2 linked regions of the Macaca fascicularis genome follow. Each later gene encodes a partner of the first gene's protein in a complex. Links are inferred from orthologs where the notes say so. Each region holds a gene or a part of one and is shown on either strand. Other genes may lie near its edges. The genes, in order: GATB and GATC.

Region 1 (3,808 bases):
TGCCCAGCCCTGATGCAGGCAGGTGCCCCTGATGTTTACTAGATTGGATGCAATTGTCCTGATTGCTGACTTCTTGCTTACCTCATGCTTCTGGTGGCTCGCTCATAATTGCACAGGGAGTAGAAGCCAGTGTTCGCAGGCTCAGCCTGCCCGTTGTATTTGGTGCTAATTGCCTGTTAGTACAAAAGCTAAGCCTCTGGCTGATGCAACAGTAAATGCATACTGTAGCTCTGTCGGCAGAGCGAGGGCGTCTCACTTTTAAGTTGAAGTTCCCAATAATAGGGCTGTCTCCTTTGGAGACATTTCTGTCATCTCACAAGGAGCAAGTAAGTGGACAATAGTAAGCAGAAACATGAACCAGAAACCTGGACCAAGAACAGTAATTGGCTGAGCAGTAAACTCCATACTGACCTGCTTTTTTCTGAAAATTAAAAAGTTTTTTTCTTTAAGCCACACCATGTGAGTGAGAGCCAATTTTTCATACCATCGAACTGGAACAAAACTGAAATGTTGAATGGGTTTCCCAAAATAATGTTTCATTTGGTCTGATTCAGAAAAACAACAGTGACGATATTGTTTTACCTCATTCTCTTTGAACTGAAGATTGGGGGGAGCTGTTTTTTAGTGGGTGAGGGCATGAGTAGAATTAAATAAAAAATACAAGTAAGACTGCATTCTCCAGGGGCTGCTGCTTTTCCCCTCTGGCCTCCAGCCTCTCAGCAAGTCTACTGTTTGGTAGGGCAGAAAGAATTAAACCACCTTTCTTTATCTTTTAAGAGTGACAGACAGTTTGGTTGAGGTGGGAGATTTAGTAATAATATGACTAAAATGAGATGTTTTGGTCATCTGTGGCTTTCTGGTCTTTCTGGCCCAGATCGTTCAAATAATCTAGAGTTTCATGGGACATACTCATATAATAAAGCATTTGTTGTTTATCTGAAATTCAGATTTAACTGGGTATCTTATATTTTATCCAACAACCTACCCAGAGCTTAGTTTTACAAATTGAGACTTCTCGCCTCAGCATAGAAAACGGGTTAGCCTTTTGCAGGATTCTCCAAGTGTGGTCCCCAGGGCACTAACGTCAGTATCTCTTGGGAACCGGTAAGAAATAGAAATCTTCAGGCCCCACCCTCGACCTACTGAGTTGGAAACCTTTGCGGTCGGGCCAAGCAGTCTGTCTTTTGACAAGCACAGTAGTATTTCTGATGCAGTTAAAGTTCTTAAACTGCTGGCTGGCCAAGTGGTGAAAGACACAGATTTTGGAGCCTGACCACCTGAATTCAGACGTTGACACTGATGCTCACTAGCTCTGTATGTGACTGTGGGCAAGGTCCTGATCCCTCCGTGCCTTGTTCTTCCTTCCAAAGGTGGTTGTGGAATTAACTGAGTGGAACACAGTGAGAGCAGCGCCTGGGACCTAGAAAATGCCACAGATGCCTTTGCTCTTATTCTCTGTTCTTCTCCAGTTCTCCTCATTGACCTGCTATCTCTTTAGTGCGTGTTGGTGCCTCTGTGCATTTGAAAGTAATTCTTCCTTTCCACTTAGAAGCAGGTGAGGGATCCTTGCAGGATCCATCAGTGCTTTAGTAGCATGTGCCTTCCGTTAACGGAGGGGGAATGGCACAGCGTTTTCTGGCTGGAGGAGCTAGGGAAGTTGGGTCAGGGAGGGCAGCTGCCATGATTGATTCCTTTAAAAAGCGGAAACAAAACAAGCTTAAACACACACTAGCAACTGCTGTTGGCCGTGTGGAGAGTAGATGGCAAAATGCTTAGCCAGCATTCCGAATAAGGAGGGTTTGCCAGGAGCCTGGTAATGAGATGCAGAGTTTAGGCTAATGAGCTGGATGGAAACAATAAATTCTTTTCTTAGGGGTCCCTGACAATGATATTATTGTTATTCCCCAGTACAGCACTTTAGTGAGGGTGATGGGCTGAATTCGTGTTGTTTATTATGTTGTTATCGGGAGTGGAGGATTTGGGGAGGGTGAAGGGGTAATGGCAGGGGCAGAAGAGACCAGGTTCAATGATGGCTGCAATGCAGCGACTAATTTTTTTCTCCTTTTCCTTTTTTTTCTTGTTACTGTTTTTGCTTTAAGAAGGCCTGTCTTTGTGTGACATTGTAAAAGGGATAGTAAACTGAATCCCAGCTTTTATGTGTGGGCCAGTGACTGTGTGTACCCTATGTTTGTGTGCAGGCAGGCTACCAAATTACCCAGCAGAGGCTCCCAATTGCTGTGAATGGGAGCTTGACATACGGCGTCTGTGCAGGGAAGAAGCAGAGTCAGGTGATCCCCAAGACGGTGAGGATCAAGCAGATCCAGCTGGAGCAAGACAGTGGCAAAAGCCTCCACGACGACCTGAGGTCGCAGACGCTCATTGATTTGAACAGGGCAGGTAGACTTGGAGTGTTTTCATTACTTCTCCTTCCTACTTCAGTTCTTGGATTGCAGACCCCTCTTCTCATCGTTAGAGTTTTCTTAAACAAATTGAGAAAGCAGTCACAGGAGCCTAACAGATGGAGACCAAAATATCAGCATTGGGATTGGCGTAGCTGACTAGCGAACATGGCTTGAACTGTAATTATTAGGCTTGCTAGTAACTCACCCTAAAGTTAGACAAACTTATCCACCTAGTCACAGAGCCAGCAGCTGGATATTTTAAGCAGTCATTAAAAGAAGTGAAACAGTTAAAAATTAAAAAGTGGGGCGTAGGAGCCTACACTTGTAATGCTAGCGACTCAGGAGGCTGAGGTGGGAGGATCACTTGACACAGAGTTTGAGATCAGGCTGGGCAACATAGCAAGACCTACTCGCCAAAAAATTAACAGCCAGGTGTGGTGCCATACACCTGTAGTCCCAGATCTTCAGGAGGCTGAGGTGGGAGGATCACTTGAGCCCAGAAGTTCAGGGCTACAGTGAGCTATGATCATGCCACTGCACTCCACCTGGGCGACAGAGCAAGGCTCTGTCTCAAAAAAAAAAAAAAAAAAAAAAAAAAATGCTGGAAGGGAAGAGAAATGATTGAGAGGCTAGAACCACTCAGAGTCCATCAGTAAGGCAGGATTTTCCTGAAACTGAAGCCTAATTTTTCTGTTGGTGAAATTGGAGAACTGCAGTGAGGCTGACTCTGCCCCTCTTTGGTAGGCGTGGGCCTTCTGGAGGTGGTCCTGGAGCCCGACTTGTCCTGTGGAGAAGAGGCGGCAACAGCTGTCAGGGAGCTGCAGCTGATCCTTCAAGCCCTGGGGACCAGCCAGGCAAACATGGCAGGTAGAAGCCGCAGAAGCAGCCTTCTTGTTTCCCTCTCCCTTCCTGCCTCCTAGAACCTCTCTGACTTTAGTTTTATTTTCTGTCAGTTATATTGAGGTTGTTTGCAGCCATTTTTTTTCCCTTTTGCAACCCTGTTTTTTAGAATTTTCCTTGGATTCTTTGATGAGCCCACAACCAAATATAAATGCATGACCAGCAACATTGCAGACACACCAAACCCTTAATGAACTAATGGTTTTGAACAGTTCAGTCTTTCTCAGGAAGAAGACACTGTGTTTATCAAGAACAGTTCTTAGTTAGTGAGTTCCGTATAGATAGCACTTTGTCATTAGTTGTCTCTTTTCCTTTGAGTCTGTTTCTTTTCTTTCATAGATTTTTCATCCATATACAGCGGAAGCCAAATTATGTTGACTGTAAGCCAAGATTATGCAAACTTTACCCTGAGATAAAATCTTAATTAAATTCAGTGGAAATACAGTAGGAAACTAAAACAAATAAAAGAAACACTTGCACCCTCGGGACCAGACTGCACATTTGAA
Region 2 (4,406 bases), on another chromosome or scaffold:
TTATTGCTTTCTGGTAGGAGGAGAAAACACATTATAAGGATCTATATGAAGCTCAAGTTGCAAGCTTTGTAAATAAAATATGACAGCACAAAAGTAAAATCAAGCTGATTATAAAGACTTATAACCATGATTCAAACCACATACTTTTTAAAAAACAAGTACCAGTAGGGTGTGGTGGCTCAGGTCTATAATCGCAGCATTTTGGGAGACCAAGGCAGGTGGATCACTTGAGGCCAGAAGTTAGAGACCAACCTGGCCAACATGGCGAAACCCTGTTTATACTAAAAATACAAAAATTAGCTGGGCATGGGGGTGCATGCCTGTAATTCCAGCTACTCCGGTGGCTGAGGCATGAGAATAGCTTGAACCTGGGAGGCGGAGGTTGCCAGTGAGCTGAGATTGTGCCATTGCACTCCAGCCTGGGAGACAGTGAGACTGCCTCAAAAATAAATAAAAACCAAAAGTACCATAATGAATAAATCAAGTGTAAGACCTGAGGGAGACTGGAAAAGGAGTTGTGAGGGAACCATTAAAATTAAGTGAAATTTGAAAAATAATCATCACTTTGTGTTGGTGAAAGACTTACTGGCTATGTGACCAACTAAATGGGATGAAGACAGCAACTACCTCGGGGAACTGCTGTGAGGATGTGTTGGGTTAACTTATTGGAAGTGCTTTGCCCAGTGCTGTTCTAACAATTCAAAGCAGTTCCACATCCATTGGGCCAGAATAAACATTTCCTAGCTGCAGTTGCGGGGACTGGTCAAGAGAGATAAACAGGCTAACGAAGGGTTTATAACATCAAAATAATGTGATCCTCCAGTCTGAAGTATAACCCCGCCCAGACCTCAGCTGTAATAGTGGAAAAGTGCACCACCTGCGAAAGAATCAAGGCAACCTGGTGCTAGTGAACTCGGATCAATCACTTCCTATTTCTGGGTGTTAGTTTTTTATGTACAAAATATGAGTAACTATACCCACCTTGCGAGTTTAGGATGAACACCAAATGAACCAAAAGATGTGACTGTGTGTCTTAAAAACAAAAGCACTGCACCAATATTTGTCATTCGGGGAGACACCCAAACGGCCTCGGTGGTGATGATAGGGGAGCGAGCTCCTGCCACTGACCTCACTGCGGCTTTTCTCCACCCTTCCAGTCCAGTCCCAACCCCCATAAAACACGACGAGTGTAGTGGGACACAGCGCGGAGAATGCGGGGCCTGGAAACAGAGGCGGAAGGGCTCACCTGAACACATTGCTGGTAGCGCTTGAAGAGGTCGGTGCACGGGTCCCCGGAGCTGTCCCCCTTGAGAAACTTCTCGGCGAACCAGCGATTGAAGCACTGGTCGTATTCGCGCTTCATGTCCGTGCATGCCTCCCCCACACTGTTCATGGCGACAGTGGTGTCGGCGGCGGCGGCAGCGCACTCTGATGTCATCACTCTTAGGCGCGTCGCTCGGCGTTACGCGCGGGCGCACTACGGGGGCCAAGGAAGGAAGAAATGTGGTCGCGGTTGGTGTGGCTGGGCCTTCGGGCCCCTCTGGGCGGGCGCCAGGGCTTCACGTCCAAGGCGGATCCTCAGGTAAAGGCCAGGGCCATCTAGGCGGGTGGCGGAGCAAGCCGGGAGGCACACCGGGGCGCCGGTGAACCACACTCCGTGCCTCATTCCTCCTCCAGGGCAGTGGCCGGATCACGGCCCAGGTGATCGAGCACCTGGAGCGTCTAGCGCTTGTGGACTTCGGCAGCTGCGAGGCAGTGGCGCGACTGGAGAAAGCTATCGCCTTCGCCGACCGGCTACGTGCGGTGGACACTGACGGGGTGGAGCCCATGGAGTCGGTCCTGGAGGACAGGTAAACTCGAGGCTGCAGCCCCGAAGCCTTGAGCGTGGCCCGTTCGCAGCCGTTTAATGTGACGATTAGCGAACAATTTTCCAGGGGGTTAAAGAGCGTTAGCGAGATTCAGGAACTTGCCCACGGTCACCTCGCGAGTCAGTGGCTTCACTCTTCCCCTTGTTCATTACGGATGCTCTCGCTCGTGTCGTCCTAGTGTAAGTAGAAACAAAACCCAAACTGCTCATCATCGCCTTTGTGTTTTTTTTCTTGAGACGGAGTCCAGACTGGAGTGCAGTGGCGCGATCTCGTCTCACTGCAAGCTCCGCCTCCCGTGTTCAAACAATTATCTTCCTCAGCCTCCCGAGTAGCTGGGATTACAGGCGCCTGACACCACGCCCGGCTAATTTTTTTTTTTGTATTTTTAGTAGAGACGGGGACGGGGACGGGGTGTCACCGTCTTGGCCAGGCTGGTCTTGAACTCCTGACCTCGTGATCCACCCGCCTCGGCCTCCCAAAGTGCTGGGATTATAGGCGTGAGCTACCGCGCCTGGCCTAATTATCGCCTTTGAGCCCCTACTCCATAGAGTCCCTGCCTGCTCACTCAGACATACTCTTCTCAGTACCCTCCTTGGCTACCTTGACTGCGTCTCCAGCAAGACAAGTTCTTTCCCTCTCTAGATCTTTGCACTGACCCTTCGTTTTTTCCTGCCTCTCAGTATTTGCATGGCTGCCTCCCTCTTGGCACAGGTCTCAGCTTATCTTCTGGGAAAGGGCTTTCCTAACCACTGCAAATCCCTTCTCCCCTTCTGGTTAGTAACACATCCTATTGGGTTTTTTCCTCTAACATTTTAATGGACTTTTGTTCATTTGTTATATCTCTTTTATTAAAATGTGAGCACTTTATGAGATTTGGTTCCGGTTGCATTCCTGCCTCGAATTTTTATTTTTATTTTTATTTTTATTTTTTTATTTTTTTGAGACGGAGTCTCGCTCTGTCACCCAGGCTGGAGTGCGGTGGCCGGATCTCTGCTCACTGCAAGCTCCGCCTCCCGGGTTTACGCCATTCTCCTGGCTCAGCCTCCCGAGTAGCTGGGACTACAGGCGCTCGCCACCTCGCCCAGCTAGTTTTTTGTACTTTTTAGTAGAGACAGGGTTTCACCGTGTTAGCCAGGATGGTCTCGATCTCCTGACCTCGTGATCCGCCCGTCTCGGCCTCCCAAAGTGCTGGGATTACAGGCTTGAGCCACCGCGCCCGGCCTTTTATTTTTATTTTTTGAGATGGAGTCTCACTCTTATCACCCAGGTTAGAGTGCAGTGGCATGATCTCAGCTCATTGCAACCTCCACCTCCCAGGCTCAAGAGATCCTCCTACTTCAGCGTCCAAGTATAGGACCACAGGCTCATGCCACCAGGCCTGGCTAATTTTTTTTTTTTTTTTTTTTTTTTTTGAGATGGAGTCTCGCTCTGTCGCCCAGGCTGGAGTGCAGTGGCCGGATCTCAGCTCACTGCAAGCTCCGCCTCCCGGGTTCACGCCATTCTCCTGCCTCAGCCTCCCCAGTAGCTGGGACTACAGGCACCCGCCACCTCGCCCGGCTAGTTTTTTTTTTGTACTTTTTAGTAGAGACGGGGTTTCACCGTGTTTGCCAGGATGGTCTCGATTTCCTGACCTCATGATCCACCCATCTCAGCCTCCCAAAGTGCTGGGATTACAGGCTTGAGCCACCGGGCCCGGCCGCTAATTTTTTATATTTTTTATAGAGACAGGATTTTGCCATGTTCTCCAGGCTTGACTCTTGAGCAAAGGTGATCCACCCACCTCAGCCTCCTAAAGTACTGGGATTACAGGCATGAGCCACAGCGCCTGGCCCAGTGTTTGATTCTTTCAAATCTCTTCTCTACTTTGCAATTTTCTTTTTCCTTTTGGATGGGGTCTCACTATATTGCCCAGGCTGGTCACAAACTTCTAGACTCAAGAGATCCTCCTGCCTCAGCCTCCCAAATAGCTGGGACTGTAGGTGTGCACCACCACACCTGGCTAATTCTTAAATTTTTGTAGAAACAGGGTCTTGCTATGTTGCCCCGTCTGGTGTCAAACTCCTGGTCTCAAGCAATTCTCCTGCCTCAGCCTCCCACTTCCTAAAGAAAGTCTAACTTTTTTTTCTTTTTTTTTTTGAGATGGAGTCCTGCCCTCTGCCCCATTGCCCATGCTGGAGTACAGTGGCACGATCTCGGCTTACTGCAACCTTCACCCTCCAGGTTCAAGTGATTTCTGTGCCTCAGCCTCCGGAGTAGCTGGGATTATAGGCATCCGCCACCACACTCAGCTAATTTTTGTATTTTTAGTAGAGGTGGGGTTTCACCATGTTGATCAGGCTGTTCTCGAACCCCTGGCCTCAAGTGATCTGCCCATCTTAGCCTCCCAAAATGCTGGGATTACAGGCGTGAGCCACTGTGCTGGCCAAAAAAGTCCATTCCTTTTTTTTTTTTTGAGACAGTTTCACTCTTCCACCCAGGCTGGAATACAGTGGTGCAATCTCAGCTCACTGCAACCTCTGCCTTCCGGTTTCAAGCAAT

Evidence for each region.
Region 2: GATB (region 1) and GATC share a complex: the UniProt entries of both Homo sapiens proteins name them as parts of the heterotrimeric GatCAB amidotransferase (AdT) complex. The link is inferred for Macaca fascicularis from reciprocal best matches to the Homo sapiens genes GATB and GATC.

Annotation. Positions count from the first base shown.
Region 1 is NC_088379.1:156,634,265-156,638,072, reverse strand, and holds part of GATB (glutamyl-tRNA(Gln) amidotransferase subunit B, mitochondrial), read left to right. Parts: intron 1-2,198; coding exon 2,199-2,397; intron 2,398-3,146; coding exon 3,147-3,269; intron 3,270-3,808. UniProt on the Homo sapiens protein: Allows the formation of correctly charged Gln-tRNA(Gln) through the transamidation of misacylated Glu-tRNA(Gln) in the mitochondria. The reaction takes place in the presence of glutamine and ATP through an activated gamma-phospho-Glu-tRNA(Gln).
Region 2 is NC_088385.1:127,473,107-127,477,512, forward strand, and holds the start of GATC (glutamyl-tRNA(Gln) amidotransferase subunit C, mitochondrial), read left to right. Parts: upstream 1-1,479; 5' UTR 1,480-1,501; coding exon 1,502-1,582; intron 1,583-1,677; coding exon 1,678-1,850; intron 1,851-4,406. Other genes in the region: TRIAP1 (TP53-regulated inhibitor of apoptosis 1), read right to left, coding at 1-10, 1,247-1,393. UniProt on the Homo sapiens protein: Allows the formation of correctly charged Gln-tRNA(Gln) through the transamidation of misacylated Glu-tRNA(Gln) in the mitochondria. The reaction takes place in the presence of glutamine and ATP through an activated gamma-phospho-Glu-tRNA(Gln).